Linked DNA regions of Styela clava. The protein of the gene in region 3 purifies or fractionates together with the protein of the main gene of each other region. This does not show direct contact. Links are inferred from orthologs where the notes say so. Each region holds a gene or a part of one and is shown on either strand. Other genes may lie near its edges.

Region 1 (7,528 bases), on a different chromosome or scaffold from region 3:
GCAAAATTTTGTATGCAATCGTTTTTTGTAGTGAAGAACTGGTTCTCTAGCAACAGATTGTACTTGTCCACCAATAAAAAATGGCAATTTTGACATAATTTGAGCAATTGGTTTATAATTTGATAATCCCAATAGCGCTTTGCATGCAAAATATCTCACTTCATCTGCATGCAAAGCAGGTTGATTTATGACTAGTAATGAGAGAAGAACAGAAATACCATTATTATATTGAACATATTTCCACACCATTTCCCTCTTTTCTGTTTTAGATTGTGAAGATTTGGAACGTGGTGTATCTTGTGGCCCAGGTGTTGATTTACGATGATCAGTTGCATAATCCCTCACACAATTCACAATTACAGCAAGAGCTGACTTTTGTGTTTCACCTTCAACTGCGAACAGAGTTCCCCCTTTTGCTATATCCAACATTATACTAATACCGGTAAATTTTTTATTGAGAGTGTGATGTTTACACAAAGTCAATTGCGGTGATGGCAAGAGAGTTACCACGGCAAGTACATCCAAAGCTGAACGTATAACTTCTATTTGGCCTGTGTAAGTCACCCAATCACATGCAATATCAATCACTTTCACCATCAATGCAATTCCATCTAATCGATAAAAATTGAGAACAGGTAGCCAGTTACTCATAGATCGAAAGCTGGCATCAGTAACTGAGATTTCACCGAGAACTTCAAGATTTTCAAAGAATTGTTCGCGACTGGAAACCATTGGTTTATATTTTGATACAGATTCCACAATGGTGTGTCTTTCTTTGGATTTTGGAATCGATTTTTGAGCCGAGCAAACTTTAATCTGCAAATGAGCTTCAAAGTATTTTTTAAGTGCTGCACAAACTGTTCTTGTTGTTTGGCGCATGAAAAGTCTATTGGCGTCTTCATCAGGATCATAGTTATCATCTAGTACATTAATAATAATTTTTGACATACTTATCATATTCATAAGGCAACGTAATCCACTCATCTTATCAAAAAGCTGTAAAATCACTCGGAATGAGAAAGAAAATGAGAAGAACAATGCCGCATGAGATCGACCAGTTTCGTGAGAGCATTCCAGCAACCAAAGAGCATATTTCACTAAATCACTCAAAATACGAGCAGGCAGCTGACAAGCTCTTTCCATTGCATCTTTTTTGTATGCTAAGTAATAAATACATAGGGAAACACCTGTTGAACCCATTGATGGTCTTTGAACGGATAAAAGATTCTGTATTCCATTTAATTCAATGAATTCCGTGGCTACTTTATTGTGACACAGAAGAGATGCCAAAAACTCTAATGCTTTGAATATTAGTAGTCCATCAAATTTCTTTTCTTTTATGTAAATATTAATTAATTCTAGTGCTTTGAGTTCAAGGAAAATTGATAACAAATCCTGATACTCTCCCAAACATTTTAGAAAATCAAGAATAAATCTTTGGCAGACTTCTGAATGTAGAGGAGGTTCAAGGCTGTAACTGCATCCTATCATCGCAGGCATTTGCTCAGACCAGCTACTGTTACTCAGGTCATTGTCGTAGTAATCGCTCGTAAAATGCATTTCGCCATTCGGTGCTGGGGAATGTGTGCTCGTATGCGGTTTTTCACTGAATATTCTTTTTAGTTTTGGGGCATCTGAGCTGTTTGATAACTTGCGTTTTTGTGAGCGAGATTGTGAAGAAGTCTTAACTCCGATAGAAGAATCAACTTTAAAAGTAGATCCATCACATTCTGACTCTGGAAATTTACCAGGTCTAACATGGTTCCATAATCTTTTGAGCAAAATTGATATCATTCTTATATATTCATCATTAGAAGTTTTCTGGGGTTCTATGGCACCAACAAGCAAACCTGTTGCATATGTCCTTAGTGGCTCATCAGCGTCTGTTACCCATTCAGAAAGGAGTTTGATTAACCATTCTTTTTCTTTGAATAACGTATGAGGCTCTAATCCAGGTAAAGCGGCTAAGAGAAATCGTGCAGAGGCTAACGTAATTTGAGATGGATTCTTTGGATTTGTTGTCACACGAAAGTAAGATGATGTAAGTTTATCCATGAAATCATGCGACTTTGAGAGAGAAACAAGTAACTTTCCAAAAACACATCCAGGTTGTGCATATTCAGGATGACGCTCATCAAAAGGGTCAGGATCACCCTTATGAAATTCTATTGTCTCTTCTTCGAAAAGTTTTGCGCAGTCAGTCAAAAATGGCACTGGATCATAATCGCTTGATTCGTGATTTGACTTCCATGCTTCAACTAATTCAGAAAACTGCTTTTCAGCATCTCTAGCACTAGTAGTAGTATTTTCCATTACTTATAATCAGTATAATGCTGAAAATCAAATATATGTGACTGCATGTATGTATTTATAAATGAGTTATGGTCACATAATATTCAATGATAATACTGATTCTAAGTTCATACAGTTGCATTGGTCATTTACGCTCTTTTCCTGCAGTATAAGTATTGCTACTTAATAAGAAAAGGCAGGATGTAACAGGAATACCACAAAAAGGTAGAAGTGATTGACTGACAGATTGGCCAGATGTAATTTATAAATATAAGCAGGCTATACAACTGACATAGGCTAACTACGGCCAGCAGGCCAAATCTGGCATGTTGGATAACTCAATCTTGCCCGCCTGGTGCTGCCACAGCCAAACTAAAACCAAATTTTCATGTGTCAGCTCAAAGAATTTGTTGAAATTGCAATTGAATTTAGTATGACACGAGGCTTATTGTTTTCCACTTTCGCTTTTGTAACACTGTAAATATTGTTCATAAAATGTAACTTTTACCGGTACGTCACACTTACATCAGTACATGCAGACATGGCTGCCGGTCTAGGCAGCTAGGTGCAGATTTTATTACCCAGGGCAAAAAACTTTGCTCACCCCTGCTATACAACAATGTTAAAATTATACCGGTATCATATCCAAATCATTTTTTTTCAAATACAGAAATACATAGACTACTAGACTATGAATGATTTTAAGCAAAATTGCCTGTTTTTACAGTAAAACGCCAAGTTTTTTGCCAATATACCGTATCCTGTGAATTTATTCAATGAAGATCTTTTCAGAATAGCCTACTTGACACTTTTTTTTTCATAATTTTCAAAAGCCCTCACACTGTCACAGTATTGCAGTATATTAATCATACCTGTTATTTTGTCGTTGCATGCGAAATTACATTATGATTAACCGTGTATCAGATCAGCCATGTGCTCATATAACAATAATTCATTTCCTTGCCTTGATTTAAAAAAATATAGGATTCCTATCAATTTACATTCGAAAATTGTACGCATACCGGCATACTACTTACTAGTATACATACGGCACGAATACAGTACTCAAAACTCAGCTTACGCGATCAGGTGCGATACAGTGAGATGTGAGCGATGTGTGGCTCATCGTGCTAGAGGCGCAGTTCTTACCACTTCATGGCAGCTCCTGCCACGAACGTACCACGCCGTCTCCTGCCATGGTTTTATGGCGCTATTACCGGTACATTTACAAATTCATGTACCATATTTAAGTTTATCATGCGAAATTATATCTACTTAAACCCTAACCCTAACCCCAAATCCATCCAAACTGTATCCATAAGAAAAACATTCCAACTCACTAAATATTTATCTCCATCAGCAGATTAGGGGCAGCCCTGCTATTACAGCCGACCTGCCGTGGTTACGGCAGTAAAATTGGTGGTATTCGATTTGCTGCCGTAACCACGGCAGCTCGCTATTGGTTTGTGGCAGCTAAAAAGTCAGTCGCCGTGGGTTTGGTCTTAGTGGCCGTGGTTTGGAAATCCCGCCATGGTTTTGCGGCAGCTGTAGACGCCACAAAATACTTGAAACTGCACTTGTCGTGCTAAGCGTCGGTCGGTTACCGGTACGGCTTTCTCCACCATCGAGTCCATGCTTCGGAAAAACAAATACCTGACTTGTCCCATACCTGACATGGAATGGTAACCGGACGAGAGGACGTGGATCGCCATATGGTTGAGCCGTCAAATCGGCTTTCCTCTGTCCCGAGATAAATATGTAAATCTTATCCTCATCGTTGATTGTTCTGGTGTTCGACATCCGCGATTGGTGCGCCATTACTGTACTGTACCTAAAAGGTCTGAGGAAAGAGTGTTCCCAAAGATGAAAAGTTACAAAACACTGAAGGACTGAAGAAGTTGATAACATTTCTCCCGACAAAGATGGAGTGGTTTAAGACTAGGTCCCCAAAAGACTGTGGCCTAAAAGAAAGAAGTGAAATTTCTTCCGACCGATTGAAGTCACTAAAAAGTAAAAGTGGATGAAATTTCTTTTGACGCAAGATGAGGTGGTTGAAGTGCGCCGGCGGTGGCGCGGCGGTGTGGCTCAACGGGCTAAGCGTTAGGAATACGCTCGCCACCGCACCTCTAATTACTCTGCGTGGGTTCGCAGGTTCGAATCCCATGCAGGGATGGTTATGTGCGAGAGGATTGCTGGACTCCTCGCCGTCGTTGGGTGGTTCACGTAACCGCTGGTCGGTTACGGCTTCCTCCACCACCAAGTCCATGCTTCCGAAAACAAACAATACAGTAAAACTAATCCCATACCCGACTTGGAATGGTAACCGGACGAGAGGCCGTGGTTCGCCATATGGATAAGCCGTCTTATCGGCTTTCCTCTCCCCCGGGATAAATATGTAAATCCTATCCTAAGTGGGCTAATTCGCCATGCAATGGCGGCGAAAGGACTAAAGCAGCGGTTCGCAAACTTTTTGTTCGTGCGGCGCCAAATTATCAGAAAAAAATTCTCGGCGCACCTACCGTGTTTCTCCGAAAATAAGACCTACCCTGAAAATAAGAAAGTCTTACCTACCCTGGAAAGTCAATAACGCGAATTAATATTTTTAAATAATTTTTTGATTATTATTTTGATTTTTATTTATAAGTGAATGGATATCGGTTTCCATATTATGTATATTTGAAAATCTCGTAATTCTTTATTTTGTAATTTTGTTTTTGATAAATGAAAATAAAAGACACTCCTCGAAAATAAGCCTGAGTGTTATTTTTGGAAGAAAGTTGAAAAAGACCTAGTCTTATTTTTGGGGAAACACGGTACATGAAAAAAAATTGCTGCGTTTAAATAAAACTAATAGTTGTGATCGTTAATGTGCACTTTATATCTTTCCCCGAGCATCGACCTCCTTGTTTACTTCGTGACATTGGCAAATCAGCAAGATGCAAAAAGTGACGTAACAATTCTCCCTTTTCGCATCCGCTCAGACACTTTTCTCACTCAGACAGATTTTCAAGCGTGGTCGTAAACATTACCTCGTTTTCGCGTTTTTGAACGCTATTCATTAGTTTTCAGTGTGTTTCGAAAACTTAAAATATAAATCAGATAATTCAATGATTACCCTATCTTCCTAGAAGTTTTAAATTAATTGCAGTAATAAAAAATTAGTGTATAAATAGCTGTGATAAACTAGGTTAAAATTCTTAATCGCTACTTTTAAAAAACAGATTGTTGTATGCGATGAATCATAATGATGGTTTGAAACACATACCCCATTTTGCAGGCGCCAACTCGCAAAAGCACTCTTGAAATAGCCCCGAAATCACTTTTCGGGGGTCAAATCCACAGAACCTGATTCCGTATAGAAGAGAGAGAGAGATATTCATTATTTTGTCAACCAAAATACGAACAGTCATCAATAAGAAAAAAATGTAACAGAAATAAAAATTGCTTTGGTATGTTTAACCGTAGTAGTATTAATTTACGCTTCAACCGGTTTATATATTTACGGTTTATATTTACGGTTTAACACAATTTTGTTAATTTTCGGGCGCACTTAGCAAATCGTCGCGGCGCACTCTTTGAAAACCGCTGGGTTAAGGGTTAAAACTGAGGTTTTTTTTTTGTTCTAAAATTATTTTAGTGGTGATTATTCTACTTAAAACTGCAATAGAGTGTTTTTGATACTGAACTTCAGTGGGCGCCGATTTGCAAATTTCACCTGAAGAAAAAACAATATAGGACTGACGATATTACATATTGTATTTATTATAGATATTTTATATTTTGTATTCGAATTTTTTTTGACATGAGTGATATTTTTAGTATTTCAAATGAAAATCGGGCAGACATGAGAAAGAGAGTTGACCTTTTGCCCTTATTCTTTGTTAGGCCCACATATTTACAAACTTTACACAAAAGTACTTTACACATTGACGATCACAAATTTGCTACAGGGGTGGTGACTCCTCTGAGGTCCATGGGCCGGGGCCACGGCCTATCTAATTGGGCCACATGGGCCGTGGCCCATCAAGCTATGGGCCGCGGCTCATCAGAAAAAATTCAATTGTCTTACCAAAATTTTCAATTCTTACAAAATTGTCAATATTCGAACCAAAAAAAAAATCGCGGGATGCCACCAAACCTTTTTCTTACGATAAGCCTTTACATAACAAGAGAGCTATGCTCTATATGGACACATAGCGCCACCCAGTGGGAATAATTTTGATGAGGTCATAACGAAAAAAAAAGAAGTCGGCCTTCTGGAGAAAAATTTTATCTTCAACCACTAAAAATTTCAAAGCAATTGGTCCAGTATTCGAAGAGAAAAGCGATTTTTTCAAAACGTGTCAAAGAACAAGGACACTAAGAACAACAATGAGAACAACAACAACACAATATTGAAACGATCGCTATGTCCACTACGTGTCCAAAAATAAAGCAAAATACTAAGCTACAGAAAAGGATACACCTGAAGTATGTGTACCAGGTTAGGGTTAGGAACTTAGGACAAAATTTTGTTCAAACTTTTCACATTATAATTCTATTATAAGTTCGGGAAGTGGGTAGGATTTAGGTAGGATTTACATATTTATTAGTCTTTATTATTTCATCCCATTACACAACTTGATGGGCCGCGGCCAATAGCCTGATGGGCCGAGGCCCATTTCGATGGACCGTGGCCCCGGCCCATGGGCCGTAGAAGAGTCACCACTCCCACTCCAAATTTGAGTTTTATTTGAAAGCAGCTTTTTATTTTCGTGTGAGTGCGTAGTAAGTTTTTTCGCTGATAATTTGGCGCCGCACGAACAAGAAGTTTGCGAGCTGCTGCTGTGCCTAATGTATAGAGAGAGAGAGAGAGAGAGAGATTTATTGCCACAAAAACAAAATCAACACTAATAATTATAAACATAATACAATAACGAAAATATTCCACAGTAATTGATTATTGCTTTGTGCGGGTCGGTGTGCAAGACCGATTAAAGTCATCTAGGCTCCCGACCCTTGTGTATGTGCTATATATAAGTTCATCATAGGTGGATACAAATGAGATCAAATATCAATATATAAAAAATAAATACGAGGAAAAAAGGAAACGAGTCGGCAATTTAATGGTATTATGGAATAAATATAAAGAAGAGGTGAAGAATTTGAAATACTGAGGAATTGTATTTGAACTATAAATCAAGTGTGTATAAATTAAGTATGTATAACAATGAACATGTCTAATATATTTAGTTTT
Region 2 (8,375 bases), on a different chromosome or scaffold from region 3:
GTTAAAATTTATTAGTACGGTAGAATATGAATAAGGGTAACACCAATTAATTGTTCCATTCAATTGTTCAAGAGATTAGTAATTAGTCATCATGAACTATAGTTATTTTTGCATAATTAGTATGCATGGTGATAAAAAAGTCCCATAATACGCGACTGTTTCAGAGCACCTTCGTCGAACCCCTGGAACAGCTCCACCGAACCCCAGGGGTTCGATCGAACCCAGTTTAAGAACCACTGATCTAGAGGCTATCAAATAACCGGCAACTACACCTTTTTATAGAAGTTTTATGATAAGACTTTTATTTACAGTCTTTGCTCCTCCACAGAAAGAAAACACCGGGCCAATAAATTTCTTTACCAAGGCAGTAATATGAATGCTGATCATGCATATGATACATGAGCTTATATTGAGTTCAATAGCTCACTTGAACTAAAAATAAATGGTAACCTCAGGACTTCAACTAATAGTACAGAGCAGGGGTGTGCAACCTGCGGCCCCAGGGAAACGATTAATCTGGTACTCTCGAGTAATTGCAATCTTTTTTCTTTGCAAAGTCTGTACCAGAGTCCTATTTATTAGACATGTCTATGACGCATGTTACAGTGCTCTTTCGTGCCTACGACTACTAGAAAGTCTATGTTAAATAAAGGTGCGCGGCCAGTTTGTATCTGGCCCCCTCCTGTATTAAAGGTTACACACCCCTGGTAAAGACTAAATAGCATTGGCTTTCAAGGCCATATGGTATCTTCAGTCCACTCAAAATATTATAGAACAACACTGGTTTGGAGTTGGTCCTCTCCAGTTATTGCTTTGCGAAAGTGAATCACCAAAAAGTACTACAACATTTGAATATAAGTGCAATTATGTATAAATGATAATTATTAAAAATGTAAGAATGAAATTTTAAGAGAAAGGTCCCAAATTAAGAGGTTCCGACTGAAATGGCACATTCTGTATTACCCTAATTGTTGATAGGATTAGAGATTCTATAAAGAGAATGACTTATGGTGCATATTCTGAAGAATGATTTTGATAATATGAAGAATAATATCAAGAAACAGAACATTCCAAACATTTTGCTCTCCTAATTAGTTGTGAAATCCAGAACTATTCTATTTTTGAAGTAACCAAATTTTGTCTGCAAAATAGACACACATTAAAACTTACCCGTAGTTATCTACCATGGGCATATTCAAATGGTAATTTTACTACATGCAAGATATAACAGAGAAATGAGAGAATAATATCTGGGAATTTCAAATTTGGTTCGAATAATATATACCACTTTACCATTCCCAGTAAGCAGATCTCGATTTGGTTAAGAATATCCCTAAATGAATTGGAATTACCTGTGAAAGTGAAAAATTTTCTTTTTAATAAAATCAGTTGAATTGAGCTTTCGTTTCTTTTTCACAAAATCTCAACAGTTCGTACCACAGGAGACTGGAACATAGTTAGTTGCATAACTATTTCTCTAAATAAGCTGCTCAAGTACTTGTATAGTTAGCTCTTGCCAAGCGTGGACTTCTTCTCAATCCATAGGAATGACCATCTTCTTCATCACAATCTTTGCCACCCAAGCGACGTTTTCTGCTTGGTTTTGATATGTCCATTTCAACATCACCCGCTTCTGTTTCATGACTCCATACACTAAAAGTCCCATCCCATGAAGTTGATACCAATTTTGGTTCATAAGGATGCCATGACACATCTCTCACACAGTGCTTATGTCTCTTTATTTTTGATACAATCTCTCCTGTTAAAATGTCATAAATGACGACATTTCCTTTTGAACACCCAGTGTAAATATACCTTTGACCTGTTGTATGCATAGGAGAAAACCTAGCTCTAATAAGAGTATTTGTGACTTCATGTCCATGATATGTTTTTATTGAAGTATCCCCAGCTACAGTCTTTTTTCTGTTACGCTGCCGCCGTGGAACCTGTTGCCAGCGATAATCCCAGGCTTGTCGCGCAACCGCCACTTTGACTGCTTCCTGGGCACCTGCTGATGAAAACTTCCTAACGTCCCAAACTTTTATAGTCTGATCTTTACTGTTTGAAAGCAGATATCTTGAATCGTCTTTTGAATCAATGAAGGTAATCCCATCCACATGGCCAGCAAATGAGCCAACTTTTTGTGGACTATTCTCATGCAACATCCTCCTATCCCAAACATTAACAAGTCCATCATCTCCCCCAGAATACAATATCTGGGATCCTTTATCCGCAAAACGGATTGCATTAATATCATCTTCATGAGCATATATTCGAGAAGTTCTAGAATTTCTATTACGATCATATATATACAAATGGCCATCATTTCCACCACATAGTACTTCATTATTGTCGGCAGAAAACTGCAATGAAAATGCAGCAAAGTTATAATTCTCTGGTCTTAGGTCCATTGCGTGGTGGGAGGATAAATTTACATCTTCGTTATCATATATTGATGCAATATGCAGAACACTGGACCATGTAGTATAAGCAAGGTAAAGTGCATCAGGACTGAAAGCTACATCAAGAATGCTCCACCCTATATCAAGTGCAGGTATATTCTTAAATGGCTTACAAGTTTGCGATACATCATCAAATCTATTTGCATCATACACTCTTAAATGACTATCTTGACAAGCTGATAGGAAAGTGTTTCCATCTTCAGAATAGATACCACAAAAAACCTTTTCTCTTAGAGATACCGAGTTAACAACTGTATTGGGAATTTGATGTGAACAAATAGCAGTTTGGCAACCAGCAGTGAAAACATTTTTTCTCTTGGCCCCACAACAACTAAGTTCTCGTTTCCAAACTGATTTTACAATACTTTCTTTGGAATTTGCTTTAGTGTTTGCTAGTCTTCCAGTATGAAGAAGGACATCTTGTGTTAAATCGCTTTCTTTAATAGTGTCAGGCTCTTCTAAACCTGCTTGATTTTCACTGGCGTCTTCGTCATCTTCATCAGAGCCTTCACCAAATCGATTTATAACACCTTGACTGAGACGAACTTGGCCACTGCGTAATAGTAACGCAAGGACTACAGAAAGGTCAGGTTCATCATTATCATCATATAAACTTTCGTACTGGACTTCCTCCTCAATCTCTTCCTCCTCTTCCATGTTACGGTTTGAACTTCGTGAGTTACCAATTTTGGTTTTCTGACTTTTTCAAAATATCACATTAAAAGTCGCTATGTCATTCAACATAACCAAAAAATGTCACTTGGTACTTGGTAGCATTACAATTAATTAATCATAATATTCATAACCTATGATACTGTATGAGAAATAAACCATAATAATATGATACAAACTAGAAATCAAGTGACTGGAAATGCCTATATTCTGATATTACTGTATTATATGCAGTAAAACCACAATACTATGAAAGTTACTAATGGCAGAATGGAGTAATTTTAATGCAGTATGTAATGTATCTAAGCTTTGTCTTTTATATCAAGTTTTGATACACTTGCAACACCACTGAAAGCCGCAGGGACATACAAAAAAGCATTAATCCTGAAGTCTGGTATCCAAGTGAAATTTGAGCTAAACACTTGGTCAATAGCCTATACAAAATACGAGTATTAGCATTACATTTTTGATAGTTTCAAAACTTTATATATTTAAAGAATTTTCCCAAACTTATCTACTCGATGATAGAGTCTGCAATAAGGAAACACTTAAATGTGGAAAATACATGCAAGAACTGAAAAATGAGGAAGATATGCCAACATGATTATATAAAGAACTTTTTGATCTGTATGACAATGAATCTCAACAATTTATTTAAGATTACAGAACTAAAAGAAGTACTTACAGTGTGGCGCTATAGGAATACGCTCGCCACCACACCTCTGATTACCCTGCTTGGATTTGAAACCCATGGGAGATAATTATGTGCGAGAGAATTGCTGGACTCCTCCTCACTGTAGTCAGGTCTGCAGGTAGGGTCTGGTACCGGTATAGTTTAGTACCACATGCACTTCTAGTTGGCCTGGCTCAACAATTTTTGCATATGTCAATCCTAACCCTCACCTGACTACGTCACCCAAAAATTACGTCATTTCGACGTCACAGTGGTGTAATAATGCCCACCAAAGTATGAGAATGGTCATCCAAAATGCGCAGACGAGCACCCGAAATCGAGCAAGCGATCTCTCTGGCTTTAGCGAGTTCGTTATTGGCGGCGCAGATGTCATTGGCAAGACCTATGAGTCATAGGCTATGACGTGATGGCGACGTCATAGACTCATAGTGACGTAATTTTTGGATGGCATAGTCAGGTCTGCAGGTGGGGGTTAGGAATAACATATGCAAAATTCGTTATGCTACGCCCACTGGAAGTACCTGTGGTACTAAACTATACTAGACCCGTCAGGTAGTAGGGTGGTGGTAAGTGATCCCCTTAACCACTGACATGCAGACATCTGGACATGAACTGGTAACCGGACGAGAGGCCGTGGTTCGCCATATGCTTAAGAAGTCTTATCGGATTTCCTCTCCTCCGAGATAAATATGTAAATCCTGTCCTACTTACAGGGATAAATAATGGGACGCAAGATTCGTCAATCCAGTAATTTCGGCTACAAATGATAGATACAGTAGGTACCAGTACCGTATTTCAGTTGTTCTCCAGACTCCCTACAGCTGTGTGTAATGTTTGCTCGTGTTACGTAAAATTAGAATAAAGTACAGACACTGCATTGCAGTCCTGTAGAGCAGAGGTCCGCAATTAAATTTTGGCGCGACCCTAAAAATAATATTTTAATTTCTCGCGAACCAAGCATTTGTTGAGGAGAGGCGGACAACTCGACTACACGGACAACTCGACTAACTAGAGGCCTTGTGAGTTGGCCGTCTTTTGGCATTTTCTACGGTGGTGTTTTAGGTCTAGGTAGTCGAGTTGTCTCTGGTGAGTTGTCCGTGTAGTCGAGTTGTCCGTCAGCCTTGTTGAGCATATAATTTTTTTTAAATACTTTGTAACTGAATATCAATGTTAATATTATTATTGAAAGTAGCAATTTTCTTGCACAAATTCTGAAATTGTATAAAACATGGGGCAAGAGGTATTTCAATGAAAAATAACGAAAAAAATTTGATTTGAAACAAGCCCCGTTTTAAAACTGACTGCTCCTCAGAGTTGATAGAAAACAAAACTCTAATTATCAAGCAGTTCCACACAGCTGCTCCTAACCTGGCATTGCTACGAAACAATGCAATTGACTACGTACCGGTAGGCGGTACAGTAGTAGGCTAATGAGTATGCAAACAACTATACATGATAATTATAATTAGAGGTTTATAAAGTTGTACCTGTAGTTCAAAAAACACAGTACACAGACGCGATGCCTAATATTTATGGCAAGATTAACGTGTTGCGACCCAGAGTGAAAGGTCTCGTGACCCAAATGTGGGTCAATGGTCGTAAGGCACTATTTGCGTACCCCTGCTTTAGAGTGTAGGTAGAAGCTGCTCGCGAAGCGATTGAATTGTTCCATTGTCATTCCATTAGAACGCACTATCCCATGTTTATAGAAACACAGACGATACATATCCATTGGGAGCGGTGCGATCACTTTTGCGACGATTTAACCCCCGTGCAAACCAGTTATAGACACTTTGGTGCAAACAGGATTGAACAGAGGATGGTCATGTTTTCGAGAATATATTTTATCTTTCCGCGACATGTCGCTGGTAATCAGTAGTTTATTTCCCGGCCAATGTGAATGTGACGAATGCGCCAATGTGAACGTGATGAATCCACAAATTTAACTTCTATATTATTGTAAACTTCGGACGTCTCCAAATTTTTTTTTAACTACGAAACAGAGTACGATCTGTCTCGGATCAGTGCTACATTGACACGCCATATCCGAGTCGTATCGATAATAAGCTTCTTAAACATGTTTCCGGGTAGACATTCATACATGTAGGGCTCCCGTATACGAGATGTAAGACACCACATTACTTCCACCCAGGGCTTCCGCGTATGCTACGCATGGCATAGCACATAGTTAGTTAATATATTATCTTTTAATGCTAACAAGACTAAATTTGTATTATTCCATCCAAGCAAGCATAGTGTGTGAGTTGTACAAAACCACTGCTGCTCAATGGCAATGAAATTGAAAGACTGAAAGAAATAAAATTTCTAGGAGTTATCTTTGATGAAAATCTGTCTTGGAAATCACAAATATTGCATGTTATTGGTAAAACAAAAAGAGACTTGGCAGTTGCTGCCAAAGTATCCCAGTGTGTTATTCAATCAGCTTTATTAGCAATGTTTCAGTCACTACTACTCAGTCACATCCGATATTGCTGGCTCCATGGTAATAAAACACTTGTCTTAAAATTGCTAGGTATTTGTAATAGTTCTTTAAGAATTAATATTAGGAAAAGTAAACGTGAAAGTGTAAACCATTTCTATAAAGCTGAAGATATAATGAAATTTGAAGTATTATCATTAGTCTATGATTTTCATAACAATTCCTTGCCCAACTGCTTCGACGACATACTAACTAAAATTACTTCCAATCGAAGAAGTAGTTCCAATTTGTTCATACCTTTTATGAGTACATCTGTGTTATACTGGGCCCAAGCTGTGGAATTCTCTTCCCTTGAATTTGAAAACATTGAAATCCAAAAAATCCTTTCAGAAGAAATTGTCGAGTTCTACTTGGTATTCAAATATCAAAAGGTAATATTTCAAAACCACACTGATATATATTTCTCGTATGTAATTAGCTACAACCTCCAAAGAAATACCATGACATAAGTTGGGACAGTACTCACTTGCACATACTTATTATTTTCATGAGAATGTTGAACAGTCATAATATTGTTATTGTACCTGAGATTGCTAATTTATTTTTGAACAAGCAGTTAAATTCTCTTCATCTGTTTGCATTCTAGTTCGTCATTTAGTTTGTTCTATAGCATGTATAGCATAAGATTTTTCTTCATATGGCTGTTCACATTCTGACATCTGCATGCGCATGTTTCCTTTTTTTCAATGTTGGGTTTCAGTGATGGGATTCGAATTTTTTTTCAGCCGGTTCCTTCACAAAAGCCATATTTTTCAGCCGGTTCAGTTACAAACAGAACATTGACAGTAACCAGAAATGCTAACCGGTTCGCTGATCTAACAAAATTCCCTGAGACGGTTCTATAGAACCGGTGCGAATCGGCAGAATCCCACCACTGTCTACATGTATGATCTTTGTTTTCTATTTGGGTGGTGTGATTCTTTGTGAGGGTTGTAGACGGTATAATTTAGCTCCTGTACCAATTATTGTAATTAGGTCACCAGTCGAGTTATATTTGGATTCTCCCCTACATTTTAACTTGCTGTAGTAGGCTACTATATGCTGTGTCCTGCGTATATACAAAGATTTTATCCTTGGTCGAAGTTATGCTGTGTAGTTAGAGCAGTGTTCTCCAACCTTATTAATCGTGGTATACCTTTTACATTTTTCAAGAACTTTGTATACCTTACAAATACCAATGTTTATTTGAGGCTTGAATAAACATTCAATTTTAAGCACATATTGTACTGCAATATAGTCATGCAATCTAATAGGCCAGTGTCCGTAAGTTATGAATTTGACTGACGGCCTTAGCGTCAACGGGAATGATGTGCAACGTATATCAAACGAAGTGCAAGGCAGTTGGAATCACCAACCCTATCTATAATGTGATGTAACAATGTGCTCACGTCGGTTCTTTGCTGAAATGGTATTCTGTATTTCATGTGGGCTGCGTTTGTATTGTTGTCTCCGCTTGAATATTTTCTAATTTATTATATTAAAGTTTGGAATCCATGACTTAGGCTGTACACCCTTCGTATACCCTTTATCAGCTGTATACCAAACTTATTGTCCGGTATACACTTGGGTATACCCAGTGGTGGGATTCAAATTTTTTGTCAGCCGGTTCCATCACATATTTTTCAGCCGGTTCTGTTACAAAAAGTTATGTTTTTCCCGTAATGCTAACCGGTTCGCTAATCTCATAAAATTTCGTGGGACGGTTCTATAGAACCGATGCGGACCGGCTGAATCCCACCACTGGGTATACCGTATACCCGGTTGAAGACTACTTAGTTAGAGCATGCAAATTTGTGATGGTTAGTGTGATGTTAATAATTAAGATATTCACATACATGAGTGTGGTTTGACCGACATCGAAATGTGTTTGCATGGTTTGTGAACAATTTGTCTTGTGTCCCAACCACAACACCGCCACCTTATTTTGTCCCTCATATGTGTTTTCGAAGATAGCTTGGCGATCTATACTCAAAGTTTTTCCGGTTATGATTTGCGTACTTTGGACGATTGAGTTATGAATTTTAATGTATGTTGAACAGATAAGAAA
Region 3 (8,250 bases):
AACTGAAATTCTTGGGAAAAAACTCCCAAGGTACTATGACAGAAAGTGGCTGAAAATGAAATGTAAAAAGAACTAAATGTTATCAACAAACACCCAATAGAATCGAAAGCACTGGTTGGAATAGTTTATTTAGAATTAAGATATATTCAACAAAAATTCAAACTTTTCATTTTCCTCCGGCAAATATCCCCCCCTCAGTAAATGGAGACTCCTTACCTCTTTTGAAATATCTGTAACTTCAATGTCAAGATACTTTGCCGCAGGTTTCAGGCATTTTGCAGTTAAACACAACTGACATAGATCAGCATGCACAGATGTCAATTGAGATGGATGTTCTTGAACCTGTTAAATATGTATTTACTTAGCAAATACAATATTATAGTATATGTATGTTTTATCGGTACTCCCATAGTGTGTGTACCAGATTAGGGTTAGGTCATGATTTTATTTCGATTTCCCTTATTTTAGTTCTATTATGAGTTCGGAGACTGTCTGTGTTAGTCAAGTGAATATACCCCCTGCCCATAGGTTTCAGTCCCTTTACATAACTTGATGTGAAGTAGGCGAACAAAATTAGTTACTTCCATATTGGTACACATTACACACATTTTTGTAGCGTCGTTTTATCTACTGTTGAAGTCATGGTACTTTGACAGGACACAAGCAAAGATTTTTTAAAACACTAAATGTAGACAAAATGGGGAAATTGGCAAGTAAAGTAGTAAAGGTTCCAAAATAGAAAAATCTGAGGAAAATCATGCCATGGAGTAGAAAGAAAACACAAATATAGTATTCTGGATATTCAACACAGATTCCATATAAAATTTATATGTAATTATCAAATAATATATTCATTTTTTGGCACATCAAACCATGTTTAAATCAACACTATAATTAATAGTGATAAATTACTATAACAGAATAACAGTATACATAAATATTAAAGAACTACAGGAATTAAAAAAAATCTGAACTAATTAGGCATCAGCATACCTGCTCTATAATTCTGGATATAAGTTTGATTCCACGAATTGCCATATTTCTTTGACATAACTCATTAGTAAGAGTGTGACACATCTGGGCAACTGAAAAAAAAAAATTGATTCTACTAGATACATGTAGATATGCGTAGATAAGTTGAAATGATATGTCTCAGCAATATTGTACATACAGTTTCCAATCGAATATCTTGTTTGGTCTTTATTACACTGACTCACAAACAAATCAACTTGTAGAAGCAATTGTTCAAATTCTTCTTGATTACTGGATGATTGAAATGTAGATACTTTAACACATCTGAAATGAAACATATATTTAGTGATTGTAAATAGCTCACAAACATATTGACGACTAACCAACGTTTTATTCTATTTAGACAAGCATAAATACAATAGGTTAAAGAATTGATTGAGTCTATGCATCTGAAACAAATAACTGGTTAACTAATACCATACCCAACATAGACTTGTAACAGGATGAGAGACTGTGGTTCATGGTATGGATAAGCCATTTCATTGCCTCCAACCCAGGATAAATATGTGAATCCTGTGGATACTAGTTTAAATTATTCAAAAACTTCCATTAGTTTCTTTATGCAGTTATGAGGATTTGTAATATTTAAACTTGGGTAAAATGATGTGCCACATCAAATATTAGTGTTAGGTGTTGCAAATTATTGGTATATTTAACAAATATTTCTAAAATGTTAAAATTTTCTAAAATGTTTAAGGTAAATTTTATAAATAGTTTATAATCTTTTTTGAATTAATCGAGTATGGAGCAGAATGCAACATCTGGATAAATGCTAAATTTTTCGATACCAAATAGAACTTACAAGATGTACAATACTCCTAATGTATGTTCTTGTATATCTAAGGCTTCCAACATAGTATCAAGATGTGAAATGTTTTTAACAAGGAGGTTCCATGATTTGTTCATATGATCGCATAGTTGACTCAACTGGCCTGAACAAGAAACAATTTGAAGCAAAGAAAAATATAAGACTTATTTGATATTCTGCATACTAAATGCTGAAACGAAGAGCAACAAGATGTGGTGTTGATTTAGTAGCGTATTGCGTATTTCTATATTTGAAACTTTAGAATTTGACCTGTTATTTATGCAAAATAAAAAAAAGATGTTTCTGTCTCAAACTTTTTCGATATTCAAGATAGAAAGAGTCTAATTCAGAAATTCCCCTAATCACCAAATACTGAAATAGGCTAGCAGAATAATGAAAAAGACTAGTTTCGTGGACCCAGATATCATACAGCCATAAGTCAGTAAGTTTAGGAATTACTGAAAAACCCATTTTAAGTAGCCTAGTTTATACAATACTAATCAGTACAATACCTGAATAACGTGGGTCTGGTATAGTTTAGTACCACATCCACTTCTACTTGGCCTGGCTAAACAATTTTTGCATATGTCAATCCTAACCCCCACCTGACTACGTCACCGAAAAACTACGTCATTCCGACGTCACAGTGGCGTAATAAGGCCCACCGAAGTATGCGGATGGTCGTCCAAAACGCGCAGACGATAACCCGAAATCGAGCAAGCTATTTCTCTCGTTTTCTCGTCGCAACGATCACGATAGGAGAGAGATTGCCTACTTTAGCAAGTTCTTATCGGCGGCGCAGATGCCATTTCGGGCGATCATAATTATACTTTGGCAATCCCTATGACGTGATGGTGACGTCGTAGTGACGTAAATTTTGGATGGCATAGTCAGGTGAGGGTTAGAAATAACATATGCAAAAATCGTTATGCTACGCCCACTGGAAGTACATGTGGTACTAAACTATACTAGACCCAATAACGTACCTTGCGATGACAAGTTCCGCACGGTGTTGACAAATTCTTCCAAATTTCCTGACATCCTTCTAAAATCCAGTCCTCAGTTACAGAGTTAGCTCTGCAGTTTATGGGGAAAAAGAAGACTATCGTATCCTTATGTCTGTATGTCAATGTCAGTATGTCCAGTTTTTTTTGTTCCGGAATCGGTGGTCCTGGGATCCCGTATATTTCGAATTTAGAAGTAAGAGTGCAGCGTAACGAGTCCCGGCTGCGCTGTGGTTATAAACTAGATTACTAGAATATGCAAGACCTTTGACCTCAGCAATGCAAAGAATCTGGTAGATCAGGGTCTGATCAAGGTGAGAGAGAGAGAGTTTATTTCATTTTGTCAAACCAAGAAAACAATTCATGCACACATAAAACAAATATCAAAAAAATAGTTTTTGGTATATGACTGGGGGGCAACGATACGACCTTTTGGGGTCATCAGAGTCAGTTGCCACCCAATTATATTAAACAAGCATGAAAATACCAGGTTCGTGTCAATATATCAATGCCTCTCACGATTTAAACTATGTACAATATTTACATGAATTTACTATTTTCAATTATGGAAGCATTCTTTTAGATAATGGGATTTTGCACAAATTGAAATTATATTGCAAAATATAAAATGATCGAAACGAAAAAAGTGGGAAAGCAGGTCAGACAAGCTACCCATTATTCGGGTGGTCCATATTTGTCGGCGACGGGGGCCACAAAATTGTTTTTGCATTGTTCGCGGGCCACAATAGTGCCACAAATAGGTAAACAATGCAATATGAAACACTTTTATCGTGCAAACCCATTGGTCATATGTCATTTATCAGGCTAACCCATGCAAAATCCACCCAAAAAATTACTAAAACCTGCAATAGTCTTTCTATATCAACATAAAATGTAGAATTTCAACTCTTCGTAACGGAAAGAGTGCTTCCGCAAATGTAAGTGCTTTCGATACTTTTGTCACCGACACAACTTGTCGACATATCAAGCAAGCATTGTGGTATTTACCTCTACATCCAGTCAAAAATCTGTTCAAATTCGTCAGGTTTATTTTCAAACTTATGTTTACAAAATACCTGCACATTGATTGATTACCAAATGTAAGGTACAGAAGGGTAATTACTAAATTTTCCAATATTTAGGCAGCATTTTTTGTAATACTGTTTAGGTTGGTTGCGGAAAACACCCGGCATGAATTAAATTGTTAGGCCATAACATCAATATTTAGTTATCAGGCATAGCCTGAGAATTAGTCATTAGGCTAATCAAATAGAATCCGCATTCAATTTTCAGTTTTCAATGATGCCAGAATTGTTAGCATATTTTTCCGGACAAAACGAAAAAAAGCCAGATAACAATTTAGTCTGCCAAACACGCCATTCAATTTCGGTAGTTGCCTCAGCCAGCCGCAACACTTGTCTATTCAGTGACATTAGTTATGTAACAAATGTCAATGGATTTTTCTGGTTAATTTTATGACGAAGCGACACGAAATGCGATTTTTTGATTAGTCTCCGAAAGCTACGCGGGCCACAGATAATGAAGCGGCGGGCCACATGTGGCCCGTGGGCATGGGTTTGGACCACCCTGTGGTACATAGCAGATGCACATTTTGGTGGTGATTCTACAGCACAACCGTGTTTGTGATATCGCTAATGCAGGTTGGTTTTAAAATCAAAATTGTGACGTTTACTATTTAATTGCCGCTGATAGATAGATACCGTAAGACGTGTTTAAAGGAGGAGGTTAAATACAACATTCTGAAATAGACAGTTCGTCTGCATCACAACTTTGTTTACTACAGTCGATACAATTTGAAGCAATGTCTCGAAAATTTCCGGACAATTTTATTTCGAGAGTGTCTATCATGAAAGGAAGTCCAGATATCCCTCTCTAGCAATCACGCTTGCAAGGCGACTAAGAAAACTTTTCGATAGACACCTGTGTGGTGTTTCTCGGGTATTTGGACGGCGGGGAATAATGGGAAGTGTCAAGTCAATAGTTGCTCAGATTTGTGAGAGATATCACCCAACACGGACACATAATACACCAAAAATTCTAGGTCTAGGTCAAAAATTCTAACCAAACTAAAATGTCACATGGGTGGTGTATAAATTTTGCGCTCAAACTGAACAAACAGATAAATAAGTACATAATTGAAATCAAATTGATACAGCTGCGCAGCCAACGAGGCTTGATACCTTACATTTTACAACGACGTGATATTTAGTATAATTTACGGGTATACAAAACAAAAAAACAGCAAAACGAACAGCGCACATTTCTCCAACATTAGGAAACCAGTTTTTCTTGTTTCAATAATTAATATATGCACATATTGTTTGAATCTGCCGATCCCCAATTCAATTCGATTGCAAAAATCTATAATATATGAAAATTCGTCGCCACAGCTATTGTGTGCTTATTTGTACTCTGATGGAGTCAGCGGGGTTTATTCCGCCATGTACGTTCTAATAGTACTGAAATAGAATACGCAGATAGTATCTCATGTTTAATATAGCGTTTACAATCATAACCATCATTTATGAGTGCCGATGAGATTTTAACTTTTTGTTAATGAATACAAACGCCAGTGAGAAAGTAGTTTTTTCATGAGTTATGTTTATATGAAGAATTATTTTGTCGCCAAGAACTTTAATGAAATGTTAAATATTATTAACCAATTTATTGAATAGGAGTTTGAGTCGATTCTTTCCGATTACTGAGTCCCATGGTATTGCTTCTTGGCAGATCAATTTGCTAACCCCACAGTAAACATATCAAGACAAAAACTAGAATATCGGTTAGAAACCGAAGACTTATCGATCGAGGTTAGGGGATCCCCCAAAACAGTGGTATTACCTCATAGTGACACCGTGTGTCCCATCACTAATTAATTAATTACTCGCTAATTATAAGACATACTCCATAAAATTAATAGGCTTCTGATCCGAGCTATGATGAATGCACATGCAAAATTTGGAGCAGATTCAACCTCGCTTTCGTGAGATATCGTGCGCATCTAACACACAGACATACAGACATACAACTACCTATCAACCTACGTACCGATCTTAAAATCGATAAGTAATAACAAAAACACACGCCAGCACGACTAAAGATTTTATTTTAGACGTCCTTAGATCGTGCACCCTTAGCCAGGTCAATCACGCCTTTACACACATTTTTTTCTGCTGCAACTATATTGAAGCTCCTCAAATATGAGGTGACGCACAACCTGAACAACCCTAACCTGGTACACATACCATGTTCAGGCTGTGTGCCATGTTGGTACGAATACTTCGGGAGCACCCAATTAAAAAACACAACTAAAAACTGACAAATTACTAGCGAAACCACAAAAACGAGGTAATGTCCACAGCTATTATTAAAATTATATATGAATGAAAAAGGAGTCTGCTCGGCTGCTAAAATTCCAATTGTTTCGTCACCGTTGATAGCTTGCTGATTGGTCATTGTTGCGTGGGTACGGGGTAAGGTAAGAAAAGAATGCGTATGCTCGGAGAAACATCAATCGAAATGAAATCTATCAAAATTTCGTGTCCCCTCAAGATGGGGTTACCATATATTGTTACTTTAAAGCGGGATGCCTCCAAAGACACGACCCCCTAGCTGTGATCCCGTGACTTTACAATTTCCGATTTTACTACATAGAACTACATTTAAAGCCATCCCTGCTGTCTTTATTGACCATATTGTCATCGAAAGTTCATGCGCATATTCTCTGTCTAAATATCGGGTTCAGTTCGAAAAATAAAAAGGAATATGAATATATATACGCTAACGATACAAATGATCCGAATTTAGATCTTTTTATGTACAGCAAAAGGAATAAAGAATATGAAATAGTTTGCCGTTTTCAAGCATAGAGAATTTACTTATTCACCCATGCAAGCTTTTCTGTAGATAACACCTTCAAAAAGACGTTGTTCAATGTTACATTCACGTGAACATCCGAACAGGACCAATTAGAATTGATTTTGCATGTGATACGTTTGCTAACAATGTTAGCGAGAAACAAACAAATTAACGCATTCACCCTCAGTAAGTAGGCTAGAGTTGCGCTACACAGCAACAACAGTAACGAGAACATGTTCACGTGGATGGCTGCTCGCCAAAGCGGTACTTTTGGCTGACTTGTCGGGACGGCGGGACAATATGCTAAAAAGCGGGACAGTCCCGCCTAAAGCGGGACGTATGGTATGCCTACCTCAAGATCAACGCAGATCAATCATGCGGACTCGGAGGTTGTCACGGACGCAGGACCGGATTTAGGAGATTTAAGACCCTGAGCTGAGCCATTTATAGGCCTTTTAATAATAACGCCATAAAATATAATGGCGTCATATAGAAGGCTTTGAATTGCGCGAAAACACTTATCTACTTCGAATTTTGTATGCATTTCAGCATTATAGGATGTTTGATGATAATTGAATCTGAATAAGCTAAAATGTATATAAAAGTGTACAACTCAAAAAAGAACTAAAACGGAACTGAAATTCCATCGGGTAAAACATACATTGTTCCGTGTATGATTCGGAAAATATTTTGCGAACTAAAAGTAATGTTAGAAAACTTATCAAAGAAATACATCTACGGAATCAACTTGGATTTTTTTAGTGATTTTTGCAAATTTACACTTTAGTTCCAATGTTCAAAACTTCATGCTGCCTTTCATGCATGCTTTTTTTTTATCTGGTTTGTACATTTGATAAATTATTGGTGATTTTTTTATGTCTTAGGAAGCAAAATATTTCCTACAGCTATTTACTTATTTAGAAATATACAATCAGGAATTCCAGACCCAGAGTGTGCTGAATTCAAATATTTAAAATCAACTTCGTATATATATATATATATACATATATATATATGATATGTGGGGTAAATTCTGGTGATTACCATAATTGGACGGAAGAAGTCGTCAGAAGTCTATTAAATTTAATTTATCTACCTAAATTTTGTTATATTTTGTGTAAGTTGTCCACAGATTCTTTAAAGCATTGCCCGATTCTCAATCGTGTTTTTTGTATTCTTCTATTATTATTTTTTATTTTTTTTTTCGTGGGCGGGCGCGTAATTTTACGTTTTTTTAACTTTATGTTAAGATATGCTCGTCTTCCAGGTATCTCTGCATTTTGTTTCTTCGTCTACTCTTTGTGCTGTTTTGTTTTATGTCAGAGCACCGAAATAAAGAACCTCCTGAAGTATGCGCACCAAGACGGCGCACAACCTGAACTCAGGTTGTGTACCAGGTTAGGGTTCAGATTATTCGACATCTTGGTGCGCATACTTCAGGAGCACCGAAATAAATGATTGATTGATAATGGCCTTCTATCGAATGACTGCTTTCAACTTTTGAAAATTGGAAGTGAAATTTTATTG

Evidence for each region.
Region 1: the proteins of COP9 signalosome complex subunit 3-like (region 3) and DDB1- and CUL4-associated factor 1-like purify together in Homo sapiens (affinity purification with mass spectrometry; 5 studies listed by BioGRID, with this or other methods). This does not show direct contact. The link is inferred for Styela clava from reciprocal best matches to the Homo sapiens genes COPS3 and DCAF1.
Region 2: the proteins of COP9 signalosome complex subunit 3-like (region 3) and DDB1- and CUL4-associated factor 11-like purify together in Homo sapiens (affinity purification with mass spectrometry; 3 studies listed by BioGRID and IntAct, counting the BioPlex papers as one, with this or other methods). This does not show direct contact. The link is inferred for Styela clava from reciprocal best matches to the Homo sapiens genes COPS3 and DCAF11.

Annotation. Positions count from the first base shown.
Region 1 is NC_135250.1:9,080,477-9,088,004, reverse strand, and holds the start of DDB1- and CUL4-associated factor 1-like, read right to left. Parts: upstream 3,188-7,528; 5' UTR 3,165-3,187; intron 2,334-3,164; 5' UTR 2,314-2,333; coding exon 1-2,313. UniProt on the Homo sapiens protein: Acts both as a substrate recognition component of E3 ubiquitin-protein ligase complexes and as an atypical serine/threonine-protein kinase, playing key roles in various processes such as cell cycle, telomerase regulation and histone modification.
Region 2 is NC_135258.1:14,058,613-14,066,987, reverse strand, and holds DDB1- and CUL4-associated factor 11-like, read right to left. Parts: upstream 3,273-8,375; 5' UTR 3,120-3,272; coding exon 1,491-3,119; 3' UTR 730-1,490; downstream 1-729. UniProt on the Homo sapiens protein: May function as a substrate receptor for CUL4-DDB1 E3 ubiquitin-protein ligase complex.
Region 3 is NC_135259.1:8,855,376-8,863,625, reverse strand, and holds the start of COP9 signalosome complex subunit 3-like, read right to left. Parts: upstream 3,103-8,250; 5' UTR 2,882-3,102; coding exon 2,827-2,881; intron 1,965-2,826; coding exon 1,835-1,964; intron 1,297-1,834; coding exon 1,172-1,296; intron 1,086-1,171; coding exon 994-1,085; intron 343-993; coding exon 217-342; intron 1-216. UniProt on the Homo sapiens protein: Component of the COP9 signalosome complex (CSN), a complex involved in various cellular and developmental processes.